Tamandua tetradactyla: one gene and its partner. The protein of the gene in region 1 interacts with the protein of each later gene in a pairwise test. Links are inferred from orthologs where the notes say so. Each region holds a gene or a part of one and is shown in the gene's direction. Other genes may lie near its edges.

Region 1 (9,965 bases):
CTCTCCACCATGTAAACCCCCTCTCCCACCCAACTTCCCACAGTCGGACATGAAGGTAAGAATTCAAGGAAAAAAATCAGTCCTGTGCTTTTTTACCAAAACTGAAAACAGGGTGAGATACATAATGTGTCCACAAAGAAACACGTACATTCTTAGCTCTCGAGGTCTGTGAGAAACATCTACGCTAGCCCCAAGATCTCTTTGTCCCCTACGTGGAGGGCTCAGTTTCCAGGGCTCCAGGTGCTCACCATCTTCTGGAGTTCATCGGCAGATTCTTGGACCCGCTCCCGGTCATTACTGTCCACCACGAAGATGAGGCCCTGGATGGGAAGCAAGAAAGGAAAAAGGAACGAACGATCATCCCCAACTGGAACATGCTCTAGTCTGCTCCTCTCTCTCATCTTCCCTTCTTTAATTGGGCCTAAATCCCTCTTGTCTAGCAAGCTTTCACCAAGGCCCTGCAGAAATCCTAGCACAAGCTGGAGACACCACAGCAAAGGATGCAGCCTCTGTTCTCAAGGAGTGAGTGGTCTAGCTAAAAGGTGTTCAAGGGAACAGACAATAAAGCTATGGTGATGCGAGCTCAGTCAGGCAGCGTGGACCCAGGGCTCTGTTTCTCAGAAGCCTAAGAGGATGAAGTCTCAGAAGGATGAGTAGAGGCCAGCCAAGAAAAGGGGGAAGAGGAAGAAAGGTTTTTTTCTTTTTAACCTGGCCTGGGGACCCAGCTAGGCTACCTTCTCAGTCCTAGCCCTACTTTCTCTTCCCTGGGGTTCCCAAGCTCCTACCTGAGTGTTCTGGAAATAGTGCCGCCACAGAGGTCGAATCTTGTCCTGGCCTCCCACGTCCCAGACCGTGAAACAAATGTTCTTATATTCCACTGTTTCCACATTGAAGCCTACAGATAATTGGAAAAATATGGAAAAAAGTCTTGTAAAGAAGGACTCACTAAAACTACTTGGATCTCAGCAGGGACACAAAACCAGAGGGCAGTGATCAAGAACAGGGGAAAAGAACCCCAGAGAACCGGCAGTCAACAGCTGGGGCGGGGCTAGTTCACATTCACCCCGCCTCCCGCAGTATTCCCGCCCCCCCCACCCCCCCACCCCCCCACCCCGCAAGTAGAGAGACATCCAGACCCACTTCTCAAGTAGCCGTATCTGGTGTCAGGGTCAGCTCCGGGGAGAGAGATAAGGGCCTCAGGCAGAACAGGGAGCAGACCCCGAGAAGGATCGCGGTGGTGCTCCCGCTCCCCGGCTCACCTATGGTGGGGATGGTGGTGACAATCTCCCCCAATTTCAGTTTGTACAGGATTGTGGTCTTGCCAGCTGCATCCAAGCCAACTACAACGGAGAGGGGCAGAGAGATGGAAACGGGAATGAGGGAGCCCCCTAGAGACCAGGGAAGGGGAGAGGTCAGGACTGCGGGTGGTGACGGGGGCGGAGAGCCGGAGCGCGTCCAGGTGCGCGCTGTTATCTACCCCAGGGGCCTGAGGGCAGTCAGGATGATGTGCGCCAACTCCTGCCCCCAAACTGGGCAAGAAGGGAGAAAACTGGGGTTGGGGTTTGCGGGAGTAAGGGACACCGGAGGAGGGCCGCGCTCCTCTAAAAGGCGTCCCCAAGGGCGGAATCTTCCCTTCTTACCAGCCGGGCCGGGGCGGAGGGCGCTTCACCCCACCCAGGCCCGCCGCTCCCGGTCTCAGGCCTCAGGGGCGGCGCTGCAGACCGGACCCACCCGAGAGCAGCGCCGGTCCTGGGGGCTTAGGAGGTGGGTGCAGCGGGGCCAGAGATCCGGGTGAGCCCGGCTGGAGGGGCGCGGGGGCGGGAGGGCTGCGCGGGGGCCGGCGCCCGGGTCCGGGCCGCGCGCTTGGTCTGCCTCACCCATGAGGATCCGCATCTGCTTCTTCCCGAAGATCCGCGAAAAGAGCGCGGACACTGTGAGGCCCATGGCGGGGCCCGGGGGAGGGGTGCGGGCACGGACGCCGGGTGCGGGCTGGAGGCCGCCGGCCGCGGGGGAACCCGGCGCAGCAGCACTAGCAGCAGCACCAGCACCAGCAGCAGGAGGCTCCGCCGCCGCCGCCTCCTCCGCGCGTCCTGGCCCGCCCTACGTCACCGCGGGCCCCCAGCTCCGCCCCCAGCTCCGCCCCCCAGCCCTCTCCTGGAGAAGTTGAAGCTGAGTCTCCGCACCTTCGCTGAATCCTCCACGGGCTTTGAAGAAGGAAAGGGTCTAGGCCTCTGCAGTTTCTAGCTCGCCTTTCAGGTTTGTGGCTGCTCATATAGCAGCCCGATCGGGGCTGAGGAAAGCCTTCAACTTTCCAAGCAGCCCCCTGTCCCCGTCTTCAGTGGCCCGCCGCTGGGACTTTGGTTCTATTGCGTCCAGCCCACTCTGGGCTCTGCTACAGCCCTTGGAAGGTAGCTGCACCTACTGCGTGCACCACCCACCTTAGGAGAGCGGAAACTCCGTTCTTACTCCTCCCTTTTGCCTCCTCAGCTCCTAATGAGGCGCTTTATGCGTAGGTGATAAAGGGACTGCAGAATCAGGTGAGGAGTGAGCCAGAGATGAGGGAAGATGCCCTGGTGATAGCTTTCATGGTTCTTTAAAACGCCTGGTTTATAGCTCTTCAAGCAGTAGCTCTCGGCTGCATGGTCGCAGACCCACCCCTAGAGTGCTGGAGAACTCTGCCTTCGCCATAATGCCCTGGGAACACTGCCTTTCAATCTGGGGCCACGCAGCTTTTCTGAAGTTCCTTTCTCCATTTTGCCACGAACATGGGAACCTGGATTAATGCACACCTGTCCAGGATTTATGGGCTTCTTGCCTCCCTAGACCCAAAGAACTTCACAAACAATCTTCCCCTCTTAGCATCTGAGAGGAAAAGCAAGATAGGAAAGAACCTAAATTTCTAGAGACTGGGATCAGTACCCAGGCACCTAAATTATGCTTAGCAAATACTTGTTGGGTTAAACTGGACTGATAGGGAGCTCAGTGGAGCAAGTACAGACATTATATTTATTCTGGAGTCCCAGTGGGCTTCTAGGATCAACTGCTTATGGACTAGGTTGGGAATCAGAAAATCTTCATTCATTCATTTACTCAACAAATATTTATTGAGTATTCCCATGTGCCAGCACCATTCCAAGTCTTAGTTTAAATCTGTTCTGCCATTTTTTTGAGAGTTTGGCTTAAACAACCCTCACAATTCTGTGGTTTTCTCATCTATAAAAGGACAATGTCTGCCATATTTATCTCAGGAGATTATGGTAAATGGGATAATTGTATCTGAATGTTTTGTGTTAGGCAGCTAGATTTTACTGGGCCACAAAGAAACTGGAATGAAGCACACTTCTAGGGCCTGCCCCATCATGGTCTGCAAAGTGGAATGAGAACAGACTTTGGGAACAAGGTGTGCACAAGTGCATGGTTTTCCTTTGCTCTTCAGTCATATATTCCATTCTTAGGAAGGCTCATACCAGGTAAAAAAAAAAAAAGTACATTTAAAAAGTACCAATATAAGAGGCAGGCTCGCTCAGTCACTTGCCTCCAATGTCTGTGCTGTGCTGCTTGTTTGCGGCTGTCCTCACCTCCTTCTCGGCTTTGGACCTCTACTGATACTGTGTCAGACAGGCTCCTGAGGCCTCTCCTTAAAGCTATTTGCCTTCCTTGTATTGGCTCTTGGGCTGCTGGACTTTAGAGACTCAGGAATCCTCCATCTTTAAATGTGTTGTATGCCCCTGACCCAGTTATTGGGTACTACCTGCGTTGGCAGCTTGCAGTTAAGCAAGCAAATAAATTGCATTAGCATCCAAAAAATAATAATAAATTGCATTAGCATAAAAAAAAGTACCCATATAATAACACAGCTAGTGGCCACCAAGTTAGGTCAGTTCTACATCTTTGGCTCTTTAATCATCCCCTTTCTTTCCATCCCAGTTGTCACTGTCCTATTTTACTAAAACTCTTCCCTATAATTGAGCCTTCTCACCTGACTCCTGCTCCTGATATCTTACCCTGCTATAGTAGTCCTGATGGTACTACCCTTGAGATGAAAATCTTTGGTATCTTCCTATCACCCAAGATAAAATCGAAGTGCCTTAATTGGGTTCCCACCTGTTGTGCCTTCCCATCTGTTGTCACCTACTTCACATACCCAAAGCTACTGTCTTGATGTGATTCTTAATGCTTTCTGGATGAGCCAGGCTTTCAGATGCCTCTTGTGATCTTTTCATTCTGCCGGGAATGCTGGTTTCCTTCATTTCTAGTTAGATGGGCAGCTGTTTCTCATCTTCCAAAACCAATGTATTTTCCCCAAGAGTCTTCTCTGCCTATTCCTGTCTTAAGTTCCGTACCACTTTGAAAATATCCATCAATACTGGTATGATAGCAGGATTTGTGTTTGCATATCAGTTCCTCACTAGATTGTGAGCTCCTTGAGGACAGGGCCATGTCCCTTCACAGTATTATCATCTGGCACATCATCTAATATGCAGTGTCAGGCTGATCTGGTTAGGATTCCTAAACTTACTAGCTTGGCCATGTTACTTACCCTGTCTGTGCCTCATGTTTTCATATCTGTAAAACTGTATTAATGTTACTGAGTAGAATTATTGCAAAGACTCGGTAGCAAACTCTTGTGAAGTTACTGGCATACATTTGGTCGATACGAAGTGCTCTCTATAAATATTTATTGAATCGACTCACGAAGAGTGCTAACAATTATTATATTATATGCCTATTAGGTGCCAAGCAAGCACTGAGCCAGAAACAGCTGCAGTTTCCATGGTAAAAAAGGGACTCTATGGCACTTTAGGGGCATACTTACTGGGCCCCAAATAGTAGGGACGCTTCGCCCACCTGGAGTGTTCGGCAGGAATGCAGGGCGACATCGCCCCCTGAAGCTCTCTGATCGAGCCCGAAGGGCAACTTCAGGCGCCCTGACGTCACCAGATTAAACCACCCAGTGTCCTCGACTTTGCTTACTCCGTTCTTCCCAAGACGGTTCCTCTACCGGTAAACCCACCGAGCTCTCAGCCGGCAACTGCCTCAGCCACAGTTTGAAGTAGCCACGCCTACCTCGCGCCCACTCTGGGCGGAGCCCGGACGGCGTCCTGTCGTCACTTCCAGCGGACCCGAAAGCGCCATTGTCGCGGGCCTCCGTAATAGTAAGCGGTGATGCGACAGCCCTCGGTATAAGCCCTTGGCCGAGCCTGGGCCAAGGGTAGTGGGGGCGGCCCGAGCTGCTGTGGGCTGTGTGAGAAGGGAGCGCGAAGTGGTCAGTGCGGAAAGTGCTGGGGTTGCGGTTCTCTCGTGCGCGCGTCGAGGCTAGGACCCGCTCCCATCCGCCGGGCCTGGCACACCGCGGGCGCCCCTGCCAACTTGCTCCGCCGCCGCATCCGGTACCCGACAGCTGGAAGAAGCAGGTGTGCGCCCCGCAATCGGACAACTCTCTCCCTGTGCCTTATAGTAAGTCCCCGCCCGTGTCTCCGCGGGTCTCTCCCGAGCTGCCTAACGCTGACGTGGAGCAGCCCGCCCAGCACGCTCATGGAGAAGTTTGGGATGAGTTTTGGAGGCGGTCCGAGCAAGAAAGACCTGTTGGATACCATAGAGTCGCAGAAAAAGCAGCTTCTCCAGTACCAGGCACGGCTCAAGGATGTTGTCCGCGCTTATAAAAGCCTCCTGAAGGAGAAGGAGGCTCTAGAGGCCAGCATTAAAGTGCTGTCGGTGTCCCACGAGGCGGATTTGGGTCTCACCGGTGTCCAACCTCCAGGCCTCACCTTTCCTGACTCTGTTGATGACCGGTGCTCCACTCATAGTGGTGATAGCACTGGGACTGCCGCCAGCTTGGATACTGCGGCCAGTCTCACCAGTACCAAGGGTGAGCTTGGGGTAGAAGATGACAAACCGGCCCGTGGACTGCCACCTGCAAAGTCCGAAGAGGCCAGTGGGTCGGAGAGTGGCGTTAGCAGTAGCAGTGGAGATGGACCTTCTGCGGGTGGGGAAGTGGACAAACGACTGCACCAGCTCAAGACTCAGTTGGCTACTTTGACCAGCTCTTTGGCTACAGTCACCCAGGAGAAGTCTCGCATGGAGGCTTCTTACCTGGCCGACAAGAAGAAGATGAAACAGGACTTAGAGGATGCCAATAAAAAGGCAGAGGAGGAGAGGGGCCTTCTGGAGGGGGAATTGAAGGGGCTGCAGGAGCAGATAGCAGAAACCAAAGCCCGACTTATCTCGCAGCAGCATGATAGGGCCCAAGAGCAGAGTGACCATGCCTTGATGCTGCGTGAGCTCCAGAAACTGCTGCAGGAAGAAAGGACCCAGCGCCAGGATTTGGAGCTCCGGTTGGAAGAGACCCGAGAAGCCCTGGTGGGGCGAGCATATGCAGCTGATCAGATAGAAGGATTTGAACTGCAGACCAAGCAGCTGAGCCGTGAAGTGGAGATGCTGAAGGGTGAACTGCAGGCTCTTCGGGATGAGAAGAATCGACCTGACTCTCGGGTGCAGGAGCTTCAGGAAGAGGCTGCTTGCTTAAAGAATCATTTCCAAGCTCAGTTGCAGCAGGAAATGAGGAAGGTAATTATCCCTTCATACATTTGTCATTAATCTGAAGTGGAAAATATTAGGGTTTTTCCTCCATTAGTAATTTGTAATTTTAGATCCAAGTGGCTCCACTGGCATTTTTGATACTATCTGTAAAGTTTGACTAGGTAATTCTGGGAAATCCTGTTCTGTATGATGTTGACAGTATCCACTGTTAGTGTCCAGCTTCCAATAGAACATGACATTTCTAAGTGTAGGCCGTATGGGAGCCAGGCAGCTTTGAGCTTCTGGCTATTGGCATCTTGTCAGCTGTGCTCCGGGAAGCAGTATAGTGGCAACTGTTCAGTGAAATATAGTGTATGGAGGACTCATGGGGGAATAAATAAGTTTTCTCAGAAGAAACAATCTTTTGTAATTGCTTTCAGTCTAGGATTGTCTGTTCTGGAAAGTTGTGCTATTTCACAGTGCATCTTTACAGTATGGAAAGATCCAACTCAGTTTTAAATTTCTAGGAATACTGGAAGAGGGAAAAACATGATTTCTTAATAGGATTTGGGAGTGTACATAATAAGCATCAGGAATGCACTTTATATGTGAGCTAAGTGTATGATGGGAGGAAAATGGGAGCATTAAAGCAGAACAGCACCAAATATACAAAGGTGCTTAATATTGTTTGGTATGATATGTATCTGGGAACAGAACAAGTAAGCCATAGGAACTTTTGTTAGCACTCTAATCTGCAGAAAAATCCTTTGTTCTCATTCTTGCCAGGCCACCCCATCCTGTGACCCATTTTGCTCTCTCTCTTGCTTTCTCAAAATTTGCCACAGGTCTTTGTGGCTTTTCTCAATACAACATGTCCCCTTGTTTTGCAGACAGCCCTTGTAGAGGATCAACTCCGCCAGCAATCTCAGATGGAAGAGCAGAGGGTGGCGGCCCTGGAGAACCAAATATCTGAGGTGTCTGAACTGCTTGGTACCTATGAGAAAGCCAAACAGAAGGACCAGCTGGCCATCCAGAAGTTGAAGGAGCGCATGCTGCAGCTGGACATGGAGAACAGGACTCTGGCTCTAGCTGCCTCCAGCAGATCCCCTCTAGACAGCCATGGAGAGGAGTCCAGTTTGGATGTCAATGTCCTGAAGGATAAGATGGAGAAGCTAAAGAGGCTACTGCAGGTCGCAGCCAGGAAAAGCCAGATGACCCTGGATGTGGAGAAGCTCTGCGACCTAGAGATAATGCCTAGCTCGGAGGCGGCTGATGGGGAGAAGGCTACTGCGCTCTACTATCAGCAGGAGCTGAAACAGCTGAAGGAAGAGTTTGAGAGGTACAAGATGAGGGCCCAGGTCGTCCTCAAGAACAAGAGCACCAAAGATGGTAACGTGGCAAAGGAGCTGGAGGAAGCCCAGGAACAGCTTGCAGAGCTAAAGGAGAAGTATATCTCCCTGCGGCTATCCTGTGAGGAACTCGAGCGGCAGCACCAACAGGAGGCTGAGGCTCAGAAGCAGGAGCTGTCCCGGCTGCAGCAGCTCCACCGGCAGGAGCTGGAGCGGAGCCAGCTGGACTTCAGGGACCGCACACTGAAGCTGGAGGAGGAGCTGCACAAGCAGCGGGACCGTGCCCTGACTGTCCTGGCGGAGAAGGATTTGGAGCTGGAGCAACTGCGCTCTGTGGCTTTTTCCTCTGGGCTGCCGGGACGCAGAAGCCCTGTGGGTAGTGGGGGTCTTGGAGACCCAGCTGACACATCTGCCTCGGATAGCCTGACCCAAGCACTGCAACTTGCTGCGGCCAACGAGCCCACGTTCTTCCTGTATGCTGAGCAGTTGGCCCGCAAAGAGGTGGAGATCACATCACTCAGGAAACAGAAGCACAGGCTGGAGGTAGAGGTGCATCAGCTGCAGGATCGGCTGCTGGAGGAGGGGGAGCGGCATCGTGAGGAGGTTGGAGCCCTGCAGAGCCACATTGAAAAGAACATCAGGGACCAGAGTAGGGAGGGAGCCAACCTGGAGTACCTCAAAAACATCATCTACCGTTTTCTGACCTTGCCTGACATGCTGGGCCGCCAGCAGACGCTCACAGCCATTCTGACTATCTTGCACTTCAGTCCAGAGGAGAAACAAGTGATAATGCGGCTCCCAGCCAGTGGTAGCTGGTGGCCTTCTGGCAAGAGATGATGCCATTTTCACTGACTTCTGAGACTTCTGTGCCTCTTCGTGTGGGAAGGGGCAGACTATGGTTTCTACTGCCTCTGCCTCTTCTGTTTTTGTTTATTTCTTCACTGTGTTGAACTGGGAGGAATCTTCACTGTGGGATGGGATTTTCTGCCACATGCCATCAATGCATCTGGGCCCTAAGGATACTGAAAGTGTTGGGATAACATCTTCTGGTGGCATGTACGTGTGTGTCTTGGATTGTGAGGGGGAAGAGGTTAAAACTGAGGTGCAGAAGTTGAGGAAGTGGTGAGAATCTCTTAAAATAAGATTTTTTTGTTGTTTTAATATTATGCTTCTTGCTTAGAGCTAGGAGTAAATGTGTCTCCGAAGGGAGTTCAGTTAACTAATTTTTCAACATGCCCTGAGATGTACAATGACCATTTACTCCATCACAGTCTGAGTCTGGTCCAATGCTGCTCCTATTTTCTGGGGACATAAATCCAGGCTGGAAAGGGCTAGGAAGCTTGAAATAGTGACAGATTGTCCACTTGTCCAAAGGGTCAAGGAATAGTGAGTTCTTGGAACCAGGAAGTTTGTTTTAGTTAGGGCCAGGGTGTGACCCAAAAGATCTAGACAAAACATGCCATTTATAACCATCCTAGAGAGGGCCCTGAGTACCATTTTGACTTTAAGAAAGTTTCTGAGTGACTTGCTTGGGCCTAGCTAAGGTTAAAATAGGCTTCATACTTGTTCCTTCCTTAATTTGTCTGCCTAAGGTTGACTTTGCTGTCTTTTCTCGGTGTTGAACTTTTCATTAAGAAACAAAATCTTAGCTTCTTATGAAGAGGGTTTGGATTGGTAAACTAATCCTGCTGGGGTACAAGGAACAAGCTCAGAGATTTGCTAACCTCTGTTTCTACCTTTGTAGGGACAAGGAAGGAGGAGAAAGATTTGTTGCAGAGGATTCCAAAAGGTTATTGTCATCCTTATAGGAAAGTGATGAAAGTTCAGCTGAGGCTGGGCTGGGGTACTTCCTGCCCTGTAGCCAGCATTCTGGCTAAATCTCCACCTCCCTGAAACCAGGGTGCCTGTTGTTTACTGTAACCAGGGTATTTAGACCACCCCTTAGGGAGGTAATAGCATTTTAATCTGCAGTCCTCATGTTCCCATACATGTTGTTGTAACTTTTCCTCCTTCAAAGGGATTTCTTTTATTTTCTCTTGTATAAATATTTTCATTCTGGTGCTCGCTTCAGCAGCACATACACAAATGTATTCATTC
Region 2 (10,052 bases), on another chromosome or scaffold:
TTGTAATCTGTTATTCAAAGAGACAATGTATATTTCTTTGTCTCTGGTTTTCATATATATGTATTTCTCTATATATTTGTTTTTAATAAAACAAATTAATGATAACCAAGATAAATACAATTTTTACAAGTAAAATCCTAACTTGTAAAATTCTTTGAACAAAGAATATTGAGGCTTCTGATGATGCAAATTAATGAAGTGTTATTAATGGATATATCTGTCTTTTAATTTCAAAATATGATCATAATCTTAATTAGTAATATCCTCAATGTCCTATCTTTTGTTATGATGGTAAATTGCCAAACTCACTCCATGTATGTAATTTTATACACTGAATAAAATGGTAAAACAATCTTATACACTCAAGAAGCTTTTCATGCATAATGGAAACTGGATTAGCAACACAGCCAGTATGTATAAGAAGTTAAACATGGACATATGGCATTAAAACGCCAGGGAAGATTTTAGAAAATATGATTTCAAAGTACTTACTTGTGATGGCTACTGCTGTGACGATGGTGATGGTGATGGTGATGATGTTTTGAATGATGCTGGTCTTTTTCAGTAAGAGATGAAGAAGATGAATTTGAATGTGATGATCCCAGGCTCTTCCTTTGTTCCTTTGTCTTTTGTAAAACTCTTTTGTATGATAAAGTACACAGCCAGCATAATAACTTTCCATCAACCTTTTAAGAAAATGTTTCGATTAGATTAAAAGTACCATAAGCTGATTCTAAATAAAATTAGGTAAGATAAACTGCTCAACAGCTCTATTTCACTCAAACACACACAGACTTTGCAAAATAGAAGTAAAATTAAACTTTTTTGAAACTTGGGAAAATGCTTGTTTGCAGAGTCATAAAATTGATGAGGATGGTATTTGGACTTTCCATTAGTTTTATGTATTATTAATTTGAAGAGAGAAACATATTACCTTTTCTACTACAGGAAAATAAGCACAAATTGATAATATCCCTCAAAAGAATCTTACCTAAGCACAAACCTAATTTAACCAGAATTCCTAAATTACTGTATAATTACTAAAACAATAACATATTTCACTCTACTGAAAAACTGTGAATTATTAGAAAAAAAGGAGAGCCTCAATGATTTACATGTATGCCAGGGGGAAGGGAGACTTCTTTCTAAAATTATTAAGACTAAACCTATACAAATAAAATTAGGTATTTGTTTTCTGTCTGTTAACACAAGGAATGCTGGAGGAACATGTTGTACAACTTGGGTACAATGTCTACATTGCTTTGGGGAGACCGGGGAAGCCCATCAACAAGACAGCCTCCATATTAACTGAAACTGAGAAACAACAGGAGGCTTGTGTGGCTGCTGATCAGCAAGGCATGCCACGTGCATAACGTGTACACACATGCTTATTAAGTCACTGTAGGCAAAGAAAAATGAACAATGGTTTCAAATATGAGGCCTGAATCAAAAGGCACAGGAATAAATTTGAATTACATGTGCTAATGTGCCATCAAGTAGTTTTTCACAGCAGCAACATCAAGCAAACAGCAAAAGGCTGAGTAGCTCAAAGAGTTGATTTAATAGCAGTTAGCAATTCTCTCAAACCCAATGGGGAATAAAACACCAGTACAGAATAATTTTTGATGTACAGTAATTTCAATTGACCAACATGAATCAACTTATTATACAAACAAGGAGAAAACTCACTCCTCCCGCACTTTCATCTACCACATGCTTTCAGGGACCTAAAGGACAGATATGTCTCAGTAATATATTAATTATAACTTCCAACCTGTTTGGTATTTTATTTAATTTCTAGAAGATGTCTTACCATAAATAAAACATACCTTTCTTCTTCCTTCCTCCTTCCGATCAAAAGCACACTGCTGTTTGCACTGTTCACAGGTCTGAGGTGGTCCATATTTTTTTTCTGAATTTGTACAACGTTGACACTTGGTGCCAATAAATGCTGCAATTATGTTACAGTACTGACAAGGTTTGGGCTGAAAAAGAGATATGCACTGCTTTAATTGATACACTTAAAAAAAACTGTAAATTTCTACATAAAACAAACATAACGTTATAGATGTATTTCTAGGATTAAGAAAACTAATAGGAAAAAATCTGTTTTCTGTCAAGTATGCTGCCCTGTCATATTCAATGACATTTTTCATGTTTCTATCCATTCAACTAATATTTATTTTGAGGGACATGAAACTCACTGCTACTCTTGGGATATTTAAATAAGATGAGAAATGTATTAATGATTTGTATGTCTCTTATACAAAAACTATACATGAAAAAAGGTCTCAAAATATGAAAGGTTTTGGGGGAATGAACTGCTTCTAATTTAATATCTTGGTTAGCTTAATTATCATATCACTTATTTAAAAATGTATTAGCTTTTCACCAGATGCAATACACATGTTGTAAGTGAATTTTCAATTCACACAAAGATGATGCAGAGCACATTTGATAAATTTGAAGCACAATCCATAGCAAATATACCTTGATATTCTTTGATATTCAAAAGATAATTGAGGATTTTAGAGTCTTAAGCCCAACATTTTCTTTGATAGTCAAAAGATAATTCAGGATTTTAGAGTCTTAAGCCCAACATTTAACCAGTGATCATTGTAATGTACATGCAGACCTAGGATAGGATTTATACTAGGGCAGTGTGACTATTGTGATATCTGAATTGCATAAAAATAGTTTAAGGTTATGAAGAGGTGGAAAAATCTTTTATGCAAGCTTTATGGATAATTAGATTCTCCATAACCATGAATTTGCTATATTTGAATCTTTAAAGGAAAAATACCTTCAGAAATTTCATACTGAAATTTTACATAAGCCATGTAATAATTTCATTATTTTAAAGTTTTTATCTCATCAGGCTACCTACAGAAAATCTTTCATGAAATATTTTGATATGCCAAAATGTTTAAGAAAATAACGATACCCATTTTTTTTAAAGGCAGATCAATGTGAAAAACATTGACCAGTAATAATAGCATGGAATAAACACATAAGACATACTTACTGTTCCAAATTGTTTCACATTTTGAGCACACTTCTTACAAATTGTGTTAGTTTTGCTGAAAAGGAAATTACATATAAACGATCAAAGGTATGCAGCTTTCTGAGGTGATTAGCAAAATGTTCAACTAAAGCAAGTGGAAGAGTAAAAGATCTGTAGCAACAGAAATGAATTACTTTAATGTAGCTAAGTAGTTTTCCTTTTAATACAAATATAAGGATCTTTTTAGGACAGTAATAACCCAAGTTACTTCTCTCCAAACTACTGAAGATGTATTTAGACTTTTTTAATTATGTATTTTTTGTAAAAGAAATGAAACAAAAATCCTAACACCTCCTATCTAGTTCCAAAATCTTCACTTCTGCCATCACTACAGAGTATTACTGCACAGCATTACATATCAGTGCCTTCCTAGCTTTCCACTGGGCCATTCTCCACTATTATGATATCCACACCTTATGGAGAAATTATTTATTCTTCTTTTCAGCTATTTTCTTCTGTGTGTTCTCAAAGTGGAATTGCCCTCTTAAAAAGCATTTGCTGTCCTTCTACTGGTAATAAGTAACTAGATTCCACTCTTGGAAGGAAGGTACTGGTTAACGCTACAGATCTTTCTTCAGATCCATGTCAGAACTAATGTTTAACCATTTTCTTAATAGCTTATAAAAACTGTTTAAATTTGCATCTTCATAGCAAAGCTGTATATTTTTCAATGCAATAATTTATTCCTTATTTGCTTTTGTGTAAACTGAAGTCTAATTGTAAAATAACCACTGTTTTAGCCAACATTCTCTCTCCCACCATGTATAAAAGGTTTACAACATAAAATTTAAGAAGCTATACCCCTTAAAAATATTTATTACATGCAAAATTACCATATCCCAAGTATTCCTCAGAGAGAATGCTTTGTCTTTAACAATCAAAAACTGTACAAATATACAAACCTCTCTTGTTGAAATTCTGATCTGCAGTAAGTACATTTTACAATTGGATGTGCAATTCGACATTCCTGTAATAAAACAACACGTTAGTCAACATCTATCTCAACGTCCCAAATCTCACTTTTGTGGTAGAAAACTATTACCCGGCCTAGTCAAATGTCTCAATCATCAATAAAACCTATCTACTAATGTAACCAATTGGGGGATTAATCATATAAATGGCAAATTACAATATAATTCCTTAGGGAAGGCATAGGCGTCTTTGTCTGTATTAGATGTGGGAGTATGTTACAGATAAATTAAGAAAGCTGTCAGGGCCTGTTTCAAGAACTGATCAAATGTGAAACTACTTATTTTGCACCGTTGCTCACAGACAGCATCCTGGCTTTAATGGGATGGAAGGAGCTCCAAATCATAGAGCATTCTGTTCCCAAGCCAGTCGCTTCGCTTTCCTGGACAGGGAAGAAGGATGCCATCAGCTTTGCGGCTTCGGATTCCTAGCAAGAAAGTGCAAAAACTGTCCCCTGCCTCCTGGTGGAAGGAGAAGACAGACCAGGCAGAACATTGAGATGAAAACATCTCCATCCCAGGGTCTCTGCGGCATAGACAGGTGGCTGCCTTACTCAGCCCCACCCCTAAGACCCCCAAACGCTGCTGGGGCTCGGCCCCTCTTGGGCCTCCTGGACGAAGGTAGAATTCTGTCGCTCTTTCTCAGGGGTCCTTCTCGACTGATGTACAGGCCCTCGGATAAAGGGATCCCGGGTGGGAGGCGAAGGCTCCAGACCCCTAAATCCCAAAAGCGCCGAAGAGCGCGGGGCTGCAGTGCACCAGTCACCCAGCTCCCCTGGATTGCGGTCGAGGGAACCCCGCCCGCCCGCTGCCCGGCGCCCACAGACCTTGCAAAGCTGCTGCCCCTGGGAAAGCTCCTCGAAGGGATAGCGCTGGGTACACTTGGTGCAGGCGTACAGGGCCGACGCCGCCATCCTGCTCCTCAGTCTCCTCCTCCACCGCCGCCCGCTGCGAGGCGGAGCCCTACGGCGGACTCTGGTACCGCCGCCGCCCGGGCCACGGGCTCCTCCTCCTCCCCCCTCCCCCTGCCTCGCGCCCACCAGGGCCTCTTCCGGAGAGTCCCCCGGCCCCTGTGGCAACGCTGCCGTCTCCCTCCGCCTCCACTTCCGCTCCAGCCCACCAAGCAAGACTGTCCCAGCCTCTCCCGCTTACGCCCCGGTAGCGGCGGAGGGAGACGAAGCGGTAGTTCGATAAGATTTAGCTGCGCGACGCGATCCGCTTCCTTCTCGGCCTCCGTTCCGCGTCCCCGATTGGTCACGGAGCCTACGCGTCACTCGGTCGCTCCTCCCAACCCCTCACCCAGGTTACGCAAGGAGCGCCCACAAAGGGAGGAAGCTGCTAGCCAATGACAGCCCGACGTTCTCGGCGCGCGAAATCTGCTTTAAATCAGTCCCGCCCTATGCCTGGGTCGCAGCTATTTCTAGTAGCCGGTTCGAGGTTTGGGTGAGAGCTCCCCAACCTAATTGGGCAAATGTTCTTGACAGGCTTGGTCTCTGCCTCCTCTCTCTTTCATTTGACTTCTATTGGACCGAACCATTAAGCCCCTCCTAGTCCGGTTTGTTATTGGCCAAAAGGAGTTCACCCCAAATCAAGCTCTCTTCGGCTTCTAACCCAAGAGAAGGGATGGCGTGTTTGAACTTCGCATTCATTTTTACTCTATTTCAATCATTCGACTCAGTTGCCACCGGAGACAACAACACAAATCCTGGCCCACGTTTCCTCCTTGAGAAGTCTCCTTCCTTTGCAAAGTCGCCTCCCAAGCCGTCTAGCAGCTCCCAGTGTTATCGGCTCCTGGCAGTCTCAGTTACGCGCTACCTTGTGACGTCAGCGAGGGAAGAGGCGGATTCTCTACAGGAAGGCGTCCGCTTTTTTGATTGGCTATCCAAGCCGTCCATCAGGACGTGTTGCCCTGTCGGCGTGTGCTCTGAGTTTGGGCGTCCCGGTGGGGGTGTGTGGCAGGGGGTTCTAAACCTGGTACCAGCACCCTCGCCCCTTCCATCAGGGGCCGGGCTTGCGGTCGCCCCTGGTGGGCGGCTCACATATCTTGAAGAAGAGCACGGGAACCCAGATCGTTCCGGAGCTGCGGAGGCCTGCTGGGCAGGAGAAAAATGGCGGCGGCGTCGGTTTCTGCGACTTCTGGTTCTCATTTCTCGGTAAGAAGCTATTGATGTTCGGATAGGCTCCAGATCGGTTCTTCTTAGTGCCTCTTCCCTTTTCCTCATGTTTTAGAGCTCTCTCGGCTCTCCCTCTCATCACATCTTGAGGAACAGCGGGCACGGGGGAGGAGCACCTAGATCGCCCAATGCTAGCCCTGCTTCCACTGCTTCTCTGTTGAAGCTGCACCCTCTGGCTTCCAGTGAAACAGGACTGGTCCGCCACTCCCTCCGTCCCGCCCCACTTCACCCCCATCCCCCGTGTGGGTCTAGCAGTCCAGGTTGCCGAATGTTGCCTAGACTCGGCTGGGAAAACTGTACCGGCTCCCTGGCCTGAGAAAGCGTAACTGCTTTGGTCACGTGGCGGTAACGGCCCCTTTTTGGAAACTGGCGGAGACCAGGTAGGCGCGCTTGTCGGTTTAATAGACAGCTTTTGAGTAGTCCGTTGTTTATCACGTGCATTCTCGTTTTTGCTTACTCTTTTGCCTGCAGACTCCCTGCCTCCTGTCTTCCCAGTAATGTTGTTCCGTGATCAGACCAGAAGCGCGCGCTTCCCATATCCCACCATATTATTAGGGCTGCAACGTTTAAATGCCTTTTCCACGTACTTTTCTGTGTTGTTTTAAAAACGTACGTTTTTTGAAAATTTCAGATATGGGTTGATGATTCCAAATATTGTTTTCGCCTCCACAAGGGCCACCAATTCAGTCACTTGGTTGAATTAGAGTGTCTAATGCTTAGTGGTTTGGGAACTGTCCCGTTGAGAATAGTTGGGAAGTAAGTGTGACAAGGCTTATTAAGTTAAAGGACTTTTCTATTCATTCAGCCAGTGGTGAGTTACTGGCATATTATTAGGCTGAGATTACACAGATGAAGAATATAGAGCTGCTGCTCTGAAGGAGAAAAACACTGAAGAGAAACAACATATAATTAAATGATTACTACACAGAACAGTTTGAAAAATATTGTCATGCCGGACTAATCTAGGCAAGAGTGGCTAGTATTGTTTGGGTAGACAGATGAGGTTTTCTTGAAGAGAAGATGGAGTTGAATGGGGAAGGAATTTTAAGTGCTTCTTGCAAGAATAGAATAGGAAGAAGAAAAAGGCACCATAGGCATTTTGGGGATAGGAGCCAAAATAATAGGTGCTTTCAGGAAACTTGAAATAACTTGGAATAAGCATAGGTAATATGGAGGTAGTGTTGTGAGATGAATTGGAAAAGTAGGTAAAAGTATGGTTTTGAAGGTCCTTATATAGAATCTGGGAGAGAAAAAGACCAAAAACATCAGGGTCAAGTAATGGCATAGAAGTTAAGGGGGAGAAAGTTTAAAGAATGCTAAGAGCAGATTCACTTTGAGAAGTCATGCCTTTCTTCAGTTTCAGGTTTCTATGGCTGTCTTTAGGATTTGGGATAATGAGGCCAGAAGCAACCTTCAGGGTTTCGGCAGAAAGAGGGTAATCATAAGTCCTCAGAGAGGTTAGCAGAGATTAAAAAACAGTTGGAGTTTATTCAGAAATTAATGTCAGTAAAAGGGAAGATAAAACAACTATGAGACAATTAGAAAGAGGTGTCTCTCTGTAAATGGATGAGATTTTCAGTATGAGATGTGATTAATTAAACTTAATTGGGAGAAGATGTGCTCTTAAAATAGCACTTTGAGGTTGAAAAGACCCTTTAAAATGTGGAATTGAGCTGCACTCCGAAGATGAGTAGTGGCGCTGGGATGTGCTCAACCTGTAGTCCTTACGATAGGCACTCCAGAAATCCAAAAGAGTGTGTAACAGAAGACATATTTTAATGTGCTAAGCTCAGATTTAACTGGGTTCTAAATATTGAGAACAATAAAATATCTAGGACCCTTTACAAATCAAATTATAACCATCTTCTCAACTAACTTGATGTGCTACATCAAAATGTCTAATTTTGAAGCTACATCTCAACACAATTTAACCTATTTCTCCGTGCGTAAGAGATGGCCCTGCTTAGATATTTTTTTTCTCTGTCCGCCTAAAATAAGGCTGCATTTCCAACATGGCCTGCAGTATTAAAAAGAGCACTTTAGCTTAGCAGCTGATTATAATCTAAGACAAGGCATAAAAAAGACCTTATAACGCTACAACGTGAACTCAGATTACTCCTATCAGACTTCAGGGTTGTGAGCAGTAAAAACTCATATGTATTTGGAAGTGATAAAATCAGGATAGAGCTAGCTATAATAAATGGAGATGCTTTTACCAGGCAAGGATTTTTACAGGGTAACTGTATATCTCTTACATTTCAAATATGATCAACATGAAAGTAGGTGATAGGTTTGAATTGGTTTTTCTATGTATTTATTTACTGCAACAGTAGCAATAAGAGTAGCAGAAACAGCATTTATGGAGGGATTACTCTGTATCACTCTCTAGTGGAGAAAGCAGGAAAACAATTATGATTGACATGATGGAATTAATGCTAAATTAGAAGTTCAGGCAGCATAGAGTTGAAACACAAAAGAATGTCTTTCATTTCGGTTCTCTGTTTTCCCAATAACCACAGTCAGTGCCCTCATGTCACTTTGAGCAACATTGAAAATATATATGATTTATTTTAGAGAATAGTAAAGTGATTACCTTCATGCCCCTTTTTGTATCTTCCTTCACACATACACAACCACTACCATAAATTTTGAGATTACAATAATACCTAATACTTATATAGTATTAACTGGCAGACAAAGAGTTAAGCATTTTTCATACATCAGTTAATTTAATCTTCACATAAGGTTGTTACCTTATGAAGCTGGCATTAAACTTACATAACTAGTAAATGGTAGAGCTTGAATTTGAACCCAGGTGTGCTGGTTTGAAAGTATTACGTACCCCAGAAAAGCCACGTTATAATCCTTATGCAATCTTGTTGGAGCAGCTGTTTCTTTTAATCCTGATTCAGTTCTTTAGGGGAATCTTTTGATTAGATTATTTCCAGAGAGATGTGATGCCCCCAATTGTGGGTGTGACCTTTGATTTGATGGATATGTGACTCCACCCATCCCAGATGGGTCTTGACTAGTTTATTGGAATCCTTTAAAAGAGGAGGTATTCTGGAGAATGACAGAAGCCTCATAGCTGACAGAAACTTCACAGCAGAGCTGACAGATATAGACACGTGGAGAACAGAGACACGGATGTTTGGAGATGCTTGGAGCCCAGCAGACATTGCCATGAGATACTAAGCCAGAACCTGGATAGAGCCAAGGGAACCCAAGAGATGAAAGCCAGCCCCAGAGAAGCAAGGTGAGGAACCCCCACAGGAACAGAGGCTGAAGGCAGTGGAGGCCAGAAGCATATGCCAGCTGTGTGCCTACCAAGTTGATAGAGGTGTTCCTGACCCATGGGCCTTTCTTGAGTGAAGGTAACCTTAGGTGTATTAGTTTGGACAATTTTATAGGCTTAGAACTTTAAACGTGTAACTTATTAAATTCCCCTTTTTAAAAGCCGTTCCAGTTCTGATATATCACATCTGGCAGCTTGCAAACTAACACACCAGAGTCCTTTCTTTTATTCATGATGTATTCCAGCTAATCATTCCCATTTTTTAAAATCATTTTTTCACATACAGATGTATTCCTTTCCTTTTTTTTTTCTGTTTTTATGTTTATATTCCTTTGTGGCTTGCTTTTTTTTTTTTTCTATCTTATGTTTTTGAGAATCATCTATATCGGTATATGTATGTTTATATGATATTTATTCACTTATACTTCTGTGTAACATAGCATCTTGATGGGCTTTGAGGTTTTTAGGTTATGTTGTTCATTTGTTTGCTAGCTATTTTAAACAATCCTGTAGGTGTATTCTGTAATGTAAATCATTTCAGATGTGAAAAG

What was found.
Region 2: the proteins of GCC1 (region 1) and CEP57 interact in binary tests that used the Homo sapiens proteins (3 or more experiments, as listed by UniProt). The two-hybrid records come from large-scale screens. The link is inferred for Tamandua tetradactyla from reciprocal best matches to the Homo sapiens genes GCC1 and CEP57.

What each region holds. Positions count from the first base shown.
Region 1 is NC_135327.1:168,990,156-169,000,120, reverse strand, and holds the start of GCC1 (GRIP and coiled-coil domain-containing protein 1), read left to right. Parts: upstream 1-5,445; 5' UTR 5,446-5,535; coding exon 5,536-6,567; intron 6,568-7,409; coding exon 7,410-8,705; 3' UTR 8,706-9,965. Other genes in the region: ARF5 (ADP-ribosylation factor 5), read right to left, coding at 249-320, 786-895, 1,260-1,340, 1,878-1,944. UniProt on the Homo sapiens protein: Probably involved in maintaining Golgi structure.
Region 2 is NC_135334.1:47,134,152-47,144,203, reverse strand, and holds the start of CEP57 (centrosomal protein of 57 kDa), read left to right. Parts: upstream 1-5,378; 5' UTR 5,379-6,140; coding exon 6,141-6,185; exon of another isoform or gene 6,186-6,586; intron 6,587-9,994; exon of another isoform or gene 9,995-10,052. Other genes in the region: protein FAM76B, read right to left, coding at 493-686, 1,830-1,985, 3,026-3,080, 3,967-4,031, 4,860-4,946. UniProt on the Homo sapiens protein: Centrosomal protein which may be required for microtubule attachment to centrosomes. May act by forming ring-like structures around microtubules. Mediates nuclear translocation and mitogenic activity of the internalized growth factor FGF2, but that of FGF1.